Alligator mississippiensis: one gene and its partner. The protein of the gene in region 2 interacts with the protein of the main gene of each other region in a biochemical or structural test. Links are inferred from orthologs where the notes say so. Each region holds a gene or a part of one and is shown on either strand. Other genes may lie near its edges.

Region 1 (7,992 bases), on a different chromosome or scaffold from region 2:
GTATGGCTCCCAGCAGCCCCGGGCTCCAGCCAGTGCAGAGCGCCTGGCAAGCCATCAGCCCCGTGGGCCAAGCCAGCGCAGGCTGCAGCACTGGGCGCAGGGAGCTGGCGGGACACAGCCTGGGTGTGGCCACGTTTCGGACGTTACTGGGGAGCAGCTTCCTATGAAGGGCCAAGCCCTTACGTCCAGCATCAGGTAACCACCAGCCCAGCACTGCCCCCTCCAAAGCAAGCCTGGTGGCCCCCAGCACCACGCTCCACATGGCTGGGACTCCTGTGGGTACCACGGGCCCCAGCAGCCCCCTGCCAGCACTGACAGTGAGGACAACTCCAGGCCCAGCAAGTTGTAGCTCAGGGAAGGACACCTCAGTGCCGGGTCCTGGGGGCTGCCCACCCCCCGGCGAGGCACTGGAAGCAGAGTGCTACCACGCAGGCGGAGGGCAAGGAACTCACTCGGGCCTGGGCTGGCGGTGCCGGGAGGGGCCACGTGTGCCCAGCCGGATAGAGGGGCCCAAGGCTCGGCACAGCCCGCCCACCCACCCACCCACCCCAGAGGCTCCCGCTGCCACCTCCTGCCCTGCCCTGCCCACGCCCAGCAGCTCGTCCCAGCGCGCCGCCCCCCCCCGCCCCAGTCACAGCTCCTTGGCAGCTTCCCCAGGGAAGGCGCCAAACCAGGCAGGAAGGAGACTGTCACGAAGCCTCCCCGAGGCCGGGGCTCTTCCTCCAGCCGCTGAGGGGAAGCGCCTGTACAGCCCAGGTCAGTTGGACAGAGAGGGCTGGTGGCAACATGCTCTTGGCCTCTGCTTCCTGGTGCTCAGAGCTGGGCAGACCACACTGCCAGGCCACCCAGACTGACCGCGCCAGCTACCAGGGGCCCCGAGGCCCATGCTCAGGCGTCCCAGCTGCAGCGGGGCACCGGTGCAACCTCCAGCAAAGTGGCGCCTGCAGCAGCTGACGCACCAGGACCTGGGCATAGACAACCACAGCTCCTCCCTAGCTGCTGACCTCCGCACACAGGTCCTGCTAATGGCCGCCATGCGGGCAAGGGGCACCAATGCATGGAGACGCCCCCCTCAAAGAGCCTGGGCTCCTCACCGCTTTGCAGGCTCCCACCCCGATCAATAGCTCCCACACCGCACGGCCTTGCGGCCCCAAGTTGTGCTACTGCCTGCCAGCGCGGGTGACCGCAGGCTGCTCCGCTCCTGCAGCACCAGGCAGCACCCACCTCCGCCGCACAGGAGACCCTCCTCCAGGATCTCCCCAGACCAGTGGGTCACAGGCCGCAGGCACCTGCTGCTGCCCTGGGTTCTCCCTTCCCAGCCCGGGAAGGCAGAGCAGCGCAAGGGAAGCCCTGCCAACGCAAACAGCTGCAGGCGCCAGCACAAGAGACTCGGGGGCATCTCGCACCACGTGCAGCTGCAGGGATTCTCCCCGCTCCAGACCTCCCCCAGCCTGCACACGCCCTCCTTAACCTGTCACCATGACAACCCACAGCTAGCAGTGCTGCAAGGAAAAGCCCCCAGGAAACCCTACATGCACCCAGAGCGGCCTTTCGCAGGCAAACCCACGGAGCTGCTCAGCACCCTCCTTGCAATGCAAGCCTGGCGAGGGAGCCCAAGGGCAAGGGGGCAATGCCTTTCCCCGCAGCAAGCCTCGGCCCTCGCCATCGCAGCACCAACAAGGAAGCCAGCCCTCGAGCAGAGGGGAAAAATGACTCACCGGCACTTCCCCGCAGCCTCAGCAGGGGGCAGGACAGGACTCTCACCCTGCGCCCGAGGCAGAACGCAGCTCCTGAGCCTCCCAGCACGAAACCGCTCCCGCCCGTGGCTCTCAGGAGCACGAAGAGACTGCAGCAGCAGTGCCGTCGGACTCCCCTGGGGTCTCTGTGCCCACCCACGCTCGGGCACCCTGCAGCCGGGATCCCCAGGCTCCTGGCAGACAGCCCCTGGGGACTGCAGCCGGCGCACGCGTGCTCTCAGCGGGGAGGTGGGAAGCCGAGGCCCCTCCGGCCAAGCGCTCAGGGACAGACGACTCGAGCCAGCCCCAGGACACCTTGCTAAAGGGCCACGCTGTCCTGGGCCCGGCGCGGGGACGAGCCAGACCAGCCAAGCGGGCTGCAGGCCAGCTCCGACATCGAGCCCATCGGCCAGCCACGGGCACGAAAGGAAGTATCCGAGCGTCCCAACCCACGCCTGCCCTGGAAACAGCGCCCGGGCTCTGCTCAAGTCCTAGGCCCGGCGGCACGGGCAGCGAGGGGGTGGGGGCACCGGGGCAACCCCCAGGAGCCCACGGACGGACGGACGGACGACAGAGGCAGCCGGGCCCCGCGGTCTTGCTGGTCGGCCCCGGGGCGCCCGCGAGCCTGGCACCGGGGAGGGGCAGCAAGCAGGCGCCGGCGCCTGCATCGTGTGCGTCCGTGACCCGGTTGTGACGGAGGGAGCCTGCCGCCTCCAGAGCCTTTCTGCCGGGCTCCTTGCACCGAGCAGAGGCAGCCCCGCCGCCAGGGCCGCCCGACCCCGCTCGGGTCTGCCAGCCAGCCAGACAGCCAGCGAGGGAGGGAGGGAGGGAGGACAACGGCCTGCGAGCCCATCCCGTCTCCTCGGGCTCCGCTCTGGCGCAAGCGGCTGCGAGGCCGGCCCGGGGACGCCGCTGCCTCCGCGGGGGCAGGGGGAGCGGGAGCACGCGGCTGCGAGCGGGGCCCGAGGGGCGAGCGCGGCCGGGCCGGGGGCTCCCAGGCACCCGCGGGCCGACAGCGGCGCACGGACCCGCCGACGCCGGGCCCGGCTTTTGTGGGGGGCCGCGCCCGGGGGCAGGCCCGGCGAGACCTCGGCACAGACGCGCCCCCGCGGCGGAGCGGGACCGGGAGCCGCCGTGACCCCGGAGACGCCCCCAGGCCCCGCGCGCGGAGGCCGCAGCACTGGCGGGAGCAGGACCCGGGCGCCCCGCCCCGCCCGTGGCCCCGGGCCTGGGCCTGGGCCTGGGCACGAGAGGTCGCAGCCCCGCCCCGCCCCGCCCTACCCGGCCCGTTCGCTGCTCCGAGCTGCACTGACACCGCCGCCCGGATCCGCCCCACCGCCGCTGCGTGCCCTCGCACTTCCGGGACACGCCCGTCACTTCCTGTTATATGAGGCCGACCCCAAGTGCCTCACTTCCGGCCCGGCTCGCGACGCTGATTGGCCAGACGGGACTGGGCATGCGACCGCTGGGGGAGGGACCATAGAGTTCGGGCGCCGGAGGGAGCGCCCCTGCGAGAAGCATGGCGGGCTGTCCGCAACCGGAAGCGCCTGTGGCAATAAAGTGGAGGCGGCAGCCCGAGCCCCGCCCCTGCCGTGACGTCACCGGGCGGGAAATAGGCGGGGGGGGGGGGGGACGGATCGCGGCAGCACGTGGAGCAGCCCCACCCGGCAGGGCTCCGGGGGGCGGAAAGGGGCACACGAGGCCCCCCCGAGAAACGAGCAGGGGGCGGGGGGTCACTGAAAGACCAAGTCTTTCCTGGGCCCCTCGCAGCCAGGCTTGGTGCAGCAGCGGGGTCCGGGCCCTCCCGCCACACGCTGCACTCTCGTGTCCCTGCAGCTAGGGCAGGGCGGCTCCCCCCGCAGCTGCACGCACACAGCTCGCACTGACGCTGGGGAGGGGAAAAGAGCCAAGGCAGAACAGTAGCCTCCTCCGGAGGGCAAGGGACTCGGCCCTCAGCACGGGATGCGACAGAGGCCTGCCCACCACCTCCCACCCGCTCACGCTCCTGCCGCCCGCTGACTCCGCTCCTCGGCTCCAGCTGCAACAGGAAGCAAACATTTACAGATCTAGACACATTTCTATTTTATTACGGCAAAGGTGAAAAAGCCACCTCCGCCCAACAGGCAACCAGTAAAATTTTTCCCAAAAATAACTCGGTACAAAACAGGTCTGTTTCAGAATTAAAAAAAACCTTTACATGAGTTTAAAACCTATTCCAAAACATAAAAGTAAAACAAATTCCGTCCTTGATAGTAGTAGCCACAGTCGTACACCCCTCCCTCCGGAGAGCATGGAATGAGATGTCTGGAGTCCTTTCCATGCAGGGGACGTGCTCGCTGCTTTAGCTGGTGTCCATCTAGAACAAGAGTGAAGTGCAGTTACTCGGCTGTGCCATGGGCAAGGCAAAGAGGACCTATGGAGCGTGCTCGCACAAAGCTTTCCGGTTCAACCCGAGCTTAGCCAGAGCCTCAGTCCCGTTCATGATCAGTTTAGAGCCAGCTGCTTCCACTGGAACATACCAATATGGGAAGAAAGGGTCAAACTGGCTGAAATGCATTAGGTGTGAACCCGCCTAACTGGGCACACTTTAAAAATGAACTGACTGGTGCACTTCTCCAAGGTGGGCAAGACCCTGCTCTCCCTTCCCCTCTTTCCCAGCACCCCTGTCTAGTTTTAAGAGACCCCATTTCATTTCCACCACCTGAGAGGGAAGCCCAGCACATCTCAGAGGTTGTACTATTCCCCCTCCCCCCCGAAATCCAGCTCCAGCTCTCCTCCTCCGTCACCCTCTTATTTTCATCCTGTTCTTCCCAGTAATGTTTAAAAGGCAAGGCACACCCCACCCTTCTCAGATACAGGAAGTGCGTAGTGAGAGCAGCCCTCCTGAATTATGAAGCACGCAGGCAGTCCGGGGCATGCTGCATTACTTGTTTTTAGTATTAGCTTCACGTTAACAGGTGCCCATCTTAGTTTTCTGTGTCCTGCAGGTGTGTGTCCACAGTACAAACAACTGCAGAAACTGCCCTGGAGAATCTGGCTGCCGTGTTGCGCAGTTCAGCCCCTACCACGACCGGTACCTGCAGCTCTACTCGTGGCATGGCCCCCCAGAGCACATGGGGGGGGCAGCAGACAGAAGCCAGGCTCCAGCACTCCAGGTTGGGGCTGTCATAAGGCTGGTAAGCAGTTTTTCAGGGCAAGGTTGCCATGGCAATGGGAGAACAGGTCTCAGCAAGCAGTAGCAAGGGGTGAACAGCCTGAGCAATGTAGAGGAAACGGCTCAGGACAGGGGTCAAAGAAACAGGCCTGTGCCACATGCACCTGCTGGCGCAAGAGGCAGTTGAGCTGGGTAGTGCAGGTGGGATTCTTGGCTGCCAAGGATGCAGAAGGAGGCGTTAAGGATGAGGTGTTACAGGTGGGGGGGCACTTCTACCACCACGGACAGTAGCAACATACTGACATTAAACCAGTTAGGTTTCAGACATTCATAACACCGCCTGGGAGAGAGCACTCCGCAGCACTGCTGCTCAAGCCTGGCGGCAGCCACAAGCATTCAGCGCACGCACGATTTAGTAGTTTTCTTTGCTAGTGAAGCACTGGTAAAATAAGCCTTTGTCAGCCAGTCACGCTGCTGGTGTAGATTCAGCACGTGACCTGCAATAACACCAGGCCCTTGCTACTTCCTCCTTGCTTTGCAGATGCAAACCAACGTCACACTGACCATACAGTGACAGTCCTGTGTGCTGACTCCTGCATTTCTGGCAGCTGGTCTCCTCAGGCCTAGGGCCCCGTGTCACTCACCCCGCCAGCCCTTTTAAAACATCCCTAGGAACAACTCAAGTGCTCTGTTCACTCCTCTCGAACACTGGTCCCAACATAGATCAAGCCTAGGGGTCCTCACTGGAAGTGTTTTCACAGCAGCTAGCTCTGCTACAATATAGTTTAAGCCTGTTCCATGCTAAGCTTCCAGCTTGTGAATTAAGTCGCATGAGGTCTGGCCAACTCCATTTCCCCCCGCTATCACTGTAGTTCTGCAAGAGAGCCATCGAGCTGCCCATCAAGATGTCCTGTACAAACCCATCATGCTACTTGCTGCTCATGTCTTCGTTATCTGTTAAATGCCTAGAAGTGGTTTAATAAAAGTTTTTCCAGCATGTACTAGACAAAACCTGCCCAGGTCACTCTTATTCTGATAAATGGGCACATTTGCTCTGCTTCGTTCTTCACATACCTCCCAATGTGTCTCTTAGCAAGGACTAGAGTCTGAAATGGCAGTCAGTTTGCCGATCACTTCCCCTTATCTAGGAGACTTTCACATAGCACATGCCCACATGCTCGTTAACAGGAGCCTGAAAGCCTCACAGTCTAAGCCAGGGGTGGGCAAATAATTGGGCTAGGAAGTTTTGGCGAGCTCTTGCAAGCTAGGTCAGCACCCCCTAGCCCACAACAGCTCACCAAGAGTCCTCAAGTGATAGATTACTAAACTGGTCTGGGGGGGCACCAGACAGAGTGGGCAGGGTCTCCCCCACAGTCAGCTGAGTGAATAGGATGGGGCTGTGGGCAGGAAGAGAGCAGGAGGCCGGGGGTAAAGCCGCGATCCGCCCCCAGTAAGGCCCCATGATCCTGGGCCTGACCTCACCCATCCTGCTTCCAGACACTGCCCCCTGCACCCCCATCCCATTGTCCAGCAGAGTGCACCCTGCCTACAGGGTCCTGGGTCTGTCTCCCTGGAGACCCTTCCCACCTGCTCCGTCTTGCTCCTCGGGGGGCGGGGGGGCGCAGCACAGATCATGGTACCTAGATTTAGTGGCAGCAGCAGCTCCTCTGGCTGGCAAGCAGAGTCCAGCCACTGTACTGCCCCAGCCCTGCTGCATGCCCGGGGGTGGCAGGACTGACCACATGCACTGCAGTCCAGGCTGCCCACCACATCTGGGCTAGGTGGGGCCGAGGGACCCCCTGCAGACTGAATAAAATCCCTTGGCAGGCCAGATTCAGTCCACGGGCTGCATTTTGCCCACCCCTGATCTAAGCTGTTGTTAACAGACTAGCTGCAGGCACCCAATTCTTTAGATCCATTACCTACATTTCCCAGTCTAATCATAGGCCTGCTTTCTCCTTTAGGACAGCTCCACTGCATGCATTCATTCAGTCAGTGGAGGCTGCCCTGCTGAGTGCGGTTGCTGGCCCCTTTATTTGAAGGGGCAGGGGGACAACACCAGATGTGCCTCCAATGATGCAGCCCTTCTCTGCTAGCCTTCAGCATCAGGTCACACTAGGTCAAGCTCTTTGCCCCAGCTCTTCCCCTCACCCACAAAGAGTGGACCCAGATCTTCACAGACAGTAATGTGCAGCACTGACAGGAGAGTCTGGCCCAAACAGGCCTCTGCCTGTTGAAAAGCTGGTCCCCGAGGGCCACTTCTTACTTCTGAATAAGACAATTCAGGAACCAGGTACTGACCAGTCTCGAGGAGACACATTTGGCCCATCATTCTGGCAAACAGCTGTAGACTGTTGAGGACTGATGTACACATACAAACTCCACCCAGGGAACCTGTACTTACCCTGGCATTGTAAGCATCCAACTGTGCATCTAATTCTTCTGCAGAGAGTTGCTGCTTTGAACTTCTTCCTGTTCCTCTGCCTCTCCCTCTGTTCCCACCACGGCTACCTCGCCTGTTACTGCCTCCACCACCAAATCCTGACCCACGGGTTCTGGTCATGCCACCTCTGTTTACACTGTGAAGCAGAGAAAGCAGTTTTGTTAGTCATGGCACAGTCCCACCACAAGGAAACCCAACCACCAGGAAAGTGCTGCAAGGACAGACCTGAAGCCCAAAGCCATCTTCCTACAGAAGCAGGCTACACAAATTCACTGCCCACATGAAGAGAACGAGTCACCCAGGCCCCATGAGACAAAACATCTCACCTTTGTATTGGTCTCCTCTGTGTGTCTATCTGTGATGTGACCAGTTGGATGTTCATGGGGCGCCCTGGGAGAGGGGAAAACGGAATACAAATTTCTGCCAGTGGCACTGGCAACTAAAATCCTTCCCCTACTGAATCAAGTGTCCCCTGGAAAGAGCCAGGCACACTCACCATCCAAGGGGACACCATTGTACTGCTTCATCGCCTTCAGAGCATCTGCCTTTCTTTCAAAGTGTACATCTGCCGTCCCTAAACTGCGTCCAGACCGGTCATAATGTACTGCCGCCTTCTTCAAGGTCCCAAACTCTGCAAAGAGTTCCTGAAAAACAGAGAG
Region 2 (8,205 bases):
CTGTAGGTATGCTGCTGGTTCTTCCTCCCCAGGTGCAGCACCTTGCACTTGTCAGTGTTGAAACCCATCCTGTTCTCATCCACCCACCCCTGTAACCTTTCTAGGTCCAATTGCAGCCTATTCCTCCTTTCTAGCGTGCTCACATCCCCCCACATCTTGGTGTCATCAGCAAATTTGAACAGGGTGCTTTTTACCCCCTCGTCCAAGTAACTGATGAAGATGTTGAACAGTACGGGTCCGAAGACCGAGCACTGGGGGACCCCACTGCCCACATCCCTCCAGGTTGAAATGACCCGTCCACCACCACTCTCTGGGTGCAGCCCTCCAGCCAGTAAGCGACCCATTTGACTGTGTAGGTGTCGACGCCAGAGTCCCCTAGTTTTTTTTAAATGAGGGTGGGGTGAGAGACAGTGTCGAAGGCCTTCCTGAAGTCCAGAAAGACTATGTCAACTGCTACCCCTGCGTCTACAGATTTTGTGACCTGGTCATAGAAGGCCACCAGCCTGGTTTGACAGGACCTGCCTCTAATCAACCCGTGTTGGTTGTCCCTAAGCATAACCTCCCCTGCTGGCCCCTCGTGGACATGTGCCAGGATAATTGTCTCAAAAAGCTTACCCAGGATCGAGGTAAGACTAACTGGCCTATAGTTTCCTGGGTCCTCCTTCCTCCCTTTTTTGAAAATGGGAACCACACTGGCCCTTTTCCAGTCCTCTGGCACCACACCAGAGCACCACGAGTGCTCGTAAAGCTGTGCCAGAGATCCCGCAATGACCTCTGCTAATTCCCTCAGCACTCTGGGGTGGAGGTTGTCAGGACCTGCTGATTTAAATACGTCTAGTCCCTCCAGAAGTTCCCTGTCTAGATCCTCACTGACCCTAGGCCTGGGTGCACCTCCCCCGGGGCCTCAGGGGGTCCCGGTCAATGGGCTGATCTGGTCCCTGCTCAGGAAAATGGAGGCAAAGAAATCGTTAAATAGGTTAGCCTTGTCGTCTGGTGCAACAACCAGATTTCCTAGCGTGTCTTGCAGAGGCCAACTCTCTCTGAATCAGCACCAAATCTTCCAAAGCCGATTCGATTCAAGACAGTGATCTGAATCTCCAAATCAAATCACTGTCCTCTGAATCAGCACTGAATACTTCTCTATTTGCACAGGCTTAATGTCAATGTTTCTTTAGTATTTCTGAAATAGGTCTGAGGCCTAATAAGGAATTTGAAGGAGATATTAGCAGTCATATGGATTACCTGAAGAATGTAGTTCCATGTATAAGTGTAAAAGAAAGCACCTATGCATTTTTGGTGGTTTGGAAGTCTTATGCAAACAATTAATAAGAAAAAACTGGACAACAGATAGCAGTAAAAAAAATATGAACCAATCTGAAGGTTTATGCAAACCACTGGAATTTGATTAAGGGAAATTGTGCAGGAGCCAATGAAAGTATTTGAAGAATTGACGATATGATTATAGCAACAGGAAATAATTTTAGTAGTTGTATTTTGACTTACTGGAGAGGAGATGCTGGTGTTTAGGAGGTTCAGGTTGATAAGGTTACAGTACATGAGACAGAAGACAAGAACCTGAATAAAAACATTTGTCTGTCTTAACAAAAACAGGCAAGAGCTATGCAAGTAGCAGCAAATTTGGTTACAGTCTGAATGTGTGGGGCAAAGGAAGGTGACAAGTGTGACAGGGGGCAATCTCCCAGGCTCAACATGCAGGCTCCTCTGTAGCCTGCACCAGCCCACTAAGTGCCCTCCGATGGTGCTCCGCCACACAAGAAATATAGTTTGTTTGGTTTTTTTAAATGAACAGCAACAAATGATGGAGGTAACAGAGAGGATATAGGAGGAAAAATGAGATTTTTTTATTGTAAAGTCAGAATCAGTGTCTTCTGGTATGGGGGAGGGGAGAATGGGAGGTGGACACAGGTCACAGGTATGGAAAGGACAATTTTTTTCTAATGCAACTATTGGTCCATCAGCAGGATATATTCAGCAAATTTTAAAAAACACACTTCAATGGAACAACAGAAATTTTCTGTGTAAAGAAAAACCAACACCAGTCTGATAGAAACAGAGGAGTTATTAGGTGATGACGTACAACATCTGCAAGAATTAAACGGTCCTTAAAGGGACAGTAAAGTAAGGAAAATACATAAACTGAATATGTAACTTGCAGGATCTGTTTGAATAAGCACAAATATTCTAATCCGGATAAAGTTTCTGAATGTTAAAAAGATCCAAGTACGGGAGGTGTGTTGTAACAGTATCTTACAACTACAATAGATAAACACACACACACACACACACACACACACACACACACACTATCAGGTCAATTAGATGCATTACACTAATTGTAATAGTCGTCAGCTATGCTGTTTATACAAAAGGTCAAAGGAAAACAGTCAGCCAACTGCATTAACATTTATGTGTTCACTTTTGCTAACAGGGTACAAGCTGAGGGGAAATGTACTCCCCACTTCTTAAAGTAAATCAGTTTATTTTTAAACAGGAAAGGAATAAAATGCCTTTGTTAAAAGTTTACTACTTTATTCCTGTTGGCAGTTGTGGTTACAGTCAAGGTTTGAATTACATTCTGACTCTTGGCGGGGAGGGGGGGGAGAGTCTGTAGCAGGAGCAACCAGAAGGACCCGCGGCCACCCGAGGCAAGCCAAGGGGGCTCTCGTCTCTTATGGGGGAGCTCAGCCCACCCAAGCTCCCCCAGAATTCAAGCCCTAGTTACAGTCCAAAAGGTTCTACTGCTACAAACAGTCACTGCAGCTTTAAAACTACCTATCTATAGCACAACATTTTTTAGGCTTCTGATGCATTATATAAATAAATGGTCCACCCTCCCTATTTTTCCTTCCTCTCCTCTCTATTTTGATAATTTGTTCATACCTAATTTCATAACTATTTGAACATGGCTTTTTCATACCCAGGAGAGAAAGTCCATTTATACCACTCAACAGCACTTCTGTCAACCAAATAATGTTGTTGTCCCCGCTTGTTCATTTGATGAGATGGTATGCGCCAGTCTAGACCAGATGAAGACACACTCTGAAAGTAAAAATTTAACATCCTCACAGGACTTCATTTAATATTTCAAAGCAACTCCACAAAGGTTATAATAAGCTTCCACAAGTCATAAAATGAAATGGAACATTTCAGTAATTTCATAAAGAAGTGTAAGTGAAAATCAGGCACTAACCTGCAGGGAAAAGGGGCCTAAACTAATATAGAAAAATTTCTTGAAATGGAAAGTTCAGAAGTATGGGGAACTCCCTCATCCCTTCAGTCTGTTATACTAGTTCAGGTATGAATATCCCAAAATAAACATAATTTTGGTAGAAACCTATGGATGCAGATAGTAGTAACAATGAACGTTTCCAAATGAAACACACTTAAAAATGCTTTAAAAAGGAAACATTTCAGCCAGTGGACACAGGTACATCCCTGTGTCACTAAACATTTCAATGTTGCAGCTTCCTCTACTGCCAGCCAGGCAGCATTAGGGCAGGCTGCAAGGAACAAATGTTCTGCTCTCAGCTCCCTGCTCCCCTTCACTTCACAGGGACAGCAGGAAGTAGGGGGAGAGGGGGGGCAAGAGTAGAGTGGAGAGACAAGCAGGGGTTGGAGGGGAATGGAGTGGGGCAGGGGACAAGTAGGTTAGGAATACCAACTTTCCCCCCAATCCCTGCTGTTGGCTCTTAAATCTCCAAATTTCTCTCTACCCTCCCCCAACAAAGGGGAGGGGCAGAAAGGATTGGGAGCAGAGGGTTCGAATGACATTACCCAGAGAGTTGCGTGTATCCAGCTGTCCTTTTGAAACATTTTAAAAGACATCTACAACATTTTAATTGTTACTTGTGTCCATGTCTTATCTGGAGTGCAGAGCAAAGTGCATCAATTCTCATATTATGACCAAGGCTAATGACCAAGAACCTGCAAATAAAATTTGTGCCTTTCTGACATAACAAGAATTCTTGCTTCATATGGAGATGACAAATAAAGACATTTCTGAGAGGTGTTAACTGCAATTGGTGCTGCTGTACTTTATATTCCTTGGCATTATCTAGGTCTAATCATGCTGGAAATTCTTCAGTCTCCCCACAATGCTCTGTACCAGAAGCCTGATACTAAGATGGGAAGTCCATGACATTCAGAAACTGTTCCCATTACTCCAGAGCTGAACTTCCACCTCACAAATCAGGCTCAGGATCTGCTTCTTTGACCCAAGGACCATCTTTCATGAGAGGTATATACAATGTCAGCACAAGGCTCTGGCTTCTGGAGGCTATCAGACTAAAGGAGATCAGGGAGGGCACAGACTAAGGTCTGATGGATGGAAAGGACAGGGCTGTGCTTACTGGTACTGTGACTCCTTGCTTTACCTTCACACCACGAGAACAGAGGGTGCTTTCTTTCATGAGGGGTAATGTAACTAAGAAGTGAAACTTGGAGAGGCTGGGAAACTTGTTTCCTCAAAAAATATCCTCTTACTATATAGATACTACATGGTGGGAGGCTTCTCCCTTATGCAAGGTCTAGACAGAAGCCGGCCCAGGACAATGAAAAGCAGGGTGTGGCAGCAGCAGAGCTCAGTGCACATGCACCTGGGGGCTGAGAACAGAACTTGCAGTGGTGAAAGGGGGGGGTATGACTGCACCACCACACACCCCATATCCAGTCAGGCATCCAGGTAATGCCATACCTAAAGGAACAGGGTCAGAAAGGCGCAGTAAAAGTTGAGGCCTGGAATTGCAAAGTGTTTTGGCCCTGGATTGAAGTATAGACCCTTACCCACAGAAAGCCAGCTGAAGAACTTGAACTTGTAAAAGAGATCCCTTATGTGCCAGAGCCAAGTGTGGATACATACAGTAGTAGAATACAGAGTTGAAGATCTTTGCCTCTTTTATACCCTAGAAACATGACATCTAGTGAAAATTGGTATTCCATCTACCAGAGCATGAGAGTTAGAACATTAAGGGAAGATGGTATCAAAAAGACAGCCGAAATCATGGTTCTCATTTCCCTCCACGCCACACCTACCCCCACGCCCTCACTGAAGCCAATGACAGTTTCACCTTAACACAGGGTGGACAATTATTTCGGCTCAACAAGTTTTGGCAAGCTGTCAGGGACCACATGGGTAGCCCGGTCTCTTGACAGATGCCCTGACACCTGGTCACCACACTGGGACCATAAGTCCTGCCCCATGACTCCTGACCTTTGCCACCAGAAGTCCCTCCCCTTGCATCCCCCGCCCTGCTACGCCTCCCACCAAATGCTCCTTTTAAGAGGGAATCATAGAACCAGAAAAAAAAAAAACCAAATCATACACTAGAAGTAAAACATCTATTATATTTTAATTTTACTACAAAAAATATTTGTCACAACTTGTAATTAGATACTGCATATAGAAGGAATAGCATAATAACAACTCAAAATAAAAGTGTCACTCTGCTGGTTGGGCAGAGCCCTTCTGCCCAAGAGGGTTCGAGCAAGGTCCAATAGGTTATGTTGTGAGGGTTGTACATGTGGGTGCCTTGCTCTCACCCTTGTTGGAAGAAGGGCTGGGCAGGGTGCAATTCATGGGGAGGCGGGGACAGACCATGGAGTGGATGAAAGTACATGGTAGGCTGGATACAGCCCACAGGCTGTATTTTCCCCGCCCCTGCCTTAACATACCATCACCATATGATTTGTAAAATGAAATATATAAATTCAAGCACCTAGACAGGTAAAGAATTTGAGATTAAAAAAAAGTTTGTTTTGTTTTTCTAAAATGAATTCCGAGTGGAGGGTAGACGTGATTAAATGGGTATGGTGAAGAGCATATAAAACAGAGGATATTTGGCTATTTAAATAAAATACAGGGCTGCCAGGGAATGAGAATCCTCACCAATCTAGTGAATACTTAGGTAAGTAAGGATAAATCTTTTACTTCTAAAGAATGTTTTTACAAAACACATTGCAACAATACAAGACTAGGTTAGAATAGGGAAGGAAAAAAAAGGTAAATCTTAATTCAATTACTTTGCACAATGAAGGTTAATCACAGCATAAAATGTTGCATTCATGTTAAAATAGTGTTGCAAACCAGTTACTTTAAGTGACAAGCTGTGACCTATCATTTAGCCTTTAAAATAACTTAAGTGGCTTGAATGACGAGAATGTCCTAACTAGCAACATTGCTCCAGTCATATTAGAGTATTACAGCAAGTATATTCTGGCAATCACTCTCACTTGTTCACTTACTTGCCACACCTTTGATGGGAGAATAAATATAATAAACAAACAGACAAAAATAATTGCAGTTCTTACAATCGATCTGTATAAGGTAACTTCTTATTTTCTCACAGAATGTCTAACAAGGTGATAACATTCATGCTCAAGGTCAGCCAAGTCCTGTTTTGGTATAGTCTCTATGTCTGGTGACTGGCTCCCTGCTGAGCTCACCTCCCTGGCTAATTCTTTCTTTAATTTCTCTCAGAGTGTACCTTCCGTTGCCAGTGTTTCTGTGATCCCCGTGTCCCTTGAAGAGTCTCACCGCTTTTCTGATTCAGGTAAGTATCTCCCCAGTGCATGGGCTGCCTCTTGTCCCGACACAGCTATAGAACTCCTGCACCTCCGCACAGGCTGTTTCAACCTTCCAGGTGGAATTCGCATTCCTCACCCCCTTCCAGGGGGTGTTTGTTGGGGAAGTGCCCTTTTCAAGGTGTTCCCTTACTTGCTTCAGGTCTCTAGTTTATAATTCTTTGCAGGTGTTCAAATCTCCCTCCTCCAGAGGTCACCTGATGACATCATCACCTCCGGTTCTCAGTAAGTTTAACTCTTCCCCTCCTAGTAACAGGGTCAATAGACTCCCTGTTACATTAAGCACAAAGTATTCCCTTTTCTCCCTAAATTCAAACCCAGGATTGTATTACACATGATTAAGTAAAATCAAATTGCACCAAAAAGAGGGAGCAGAAACAAAAATAAGGGGAGTGCTGATAAAGCATTTGTCGATTTACAAGTATGTGCTTATGGGTTTATCTCCCCTGTTGATTTTTATATACTGTAGGCAAATGGTAATCTTATAGGACACACCCCTAATTATGAAATATATCCAACTTTCATATTTGCATTATTGAGTTGTGGCAGGTGGACTTGATTTAAAATGGAACAATCTTTCAGTTACTGGTGCCATATATAGGTATCTTTATTAAATAATACCTTTCCTTGTACATTTGTATGTTTTGTAAGCTGTAGGCATAAGTGCCAGAACAGGACTGATTGTTTGTCCTTTTTCAATTGAAATAGAGATCTGAAGATTGAGGCACCTCAAGAAAAAGACATCAAACTGGAACAGTACATTTCTATTCACAACTGAAATGCCAATCGTATAGATGTGAGGGGAAAAAATGTAAAATAAGTTATCATCTCATTCTCCAATATATACTATAGAATCAAATATTGGAAATGTAATGTGCAAGGTACAGTCAGGGGTATCATAGTGTGTGGTGAGTAGAGTGTGGGGTGGGTAGGGGCAACACAGAATAAGAGCTATTGCTGCAGTCAAGCAGGATCACCAACCCAAAAAAATGTTTTTTACTGACTTTCTGCAAACTGCCATTCAGGGCCTGGCAGAAAGGTCACACTTAAATTATGTAAACCATCAGCAGGGGTGTAGTTAATTTGCGGTTCTGCAGAAACTGTGAGAACTGGCACCTACAAATTGCCAGGAAATATCACATTGGCCACAATTTCCCACAAAATCAACCTAAAAAACCAAGCAAACAGTGTATTATTTATATAATACACTGTTTTAGAATGTCCCAATGCTTACCATAATACAAAGACAGTGCGACAATCACTGCAGCCACAGATCACGTGACAGTGCTAGTGAGAGACTAAATGAAGGTGCCAGTCAGTGAAGTGAAAATGTTTCCATTAAGGTTAGTATTAATTAGTATTTCTAAATTTTTCATATTGTATATAAAGTGTATAATATATTTAAATTTATAATATGATAAATTATAATTTACTTTCTATGGAAATTGCTATTAAATTATACAGTACATGCCTCTCTGCCAATTAGCAGTGAGGGGCAGGGCCGCTGGGAAATGCCTCAAAATGGCTCTTCATGCCACAACCAAGCTGCAAAAATTGCTTTGTCTTGCCGTGAGTTAAGTAGACCCCTATATATCAGTAAATATC

The links.
Region 1: the proteins of RDX (region 2) and ARHGDIA form a complex in vitro, tested with the Homo sapiens proteins (2 studies listed by BioGRID and IntAct). The link is inferred for Alligator mississippiensis from reciprocal best matches to the Homo sapiens genes RDX and ARHGDIA.

Annotation. Positions count from the first base shown.
Region 1 is NC_081831.1:492,173-500,164, reverse strand, and holds the start of ARHGDIA (rho GDP-dissociation inhibitor 1), read right to left. Parts: upstream 3,126-7,992; 5' UTR 3,018-3,125; intron 1-3,017. Other genes in the region: ALYREF (THO complex subunit 4), read right to left, coding at 4,078-4,092, 7,295-7,469, 7,660-7,723, 7,830-7,977. UniProt on the Homo sapiens protein: Controls Rho proteins homeostasis. Regulates the GDP/GTP exchange reaction of the Rho proteins by inhibiting the dissociation of GDP from them, and the subsequent binding of GTP to them.
Region 2 is NC_081824.1:435,470,789-435,478,993, reverse strand, and holds the start of RDX (radixin), read right to left. Parts: upstream 3,032-8,205; 5' UTR 2,957-3,031; coding exon 2,939-2,956; intron 1-2,938. UniProt on the Homo sapiens protein: Probably plays a crucial role in the binding of the barbed end of actin filaments to the plasma membrane.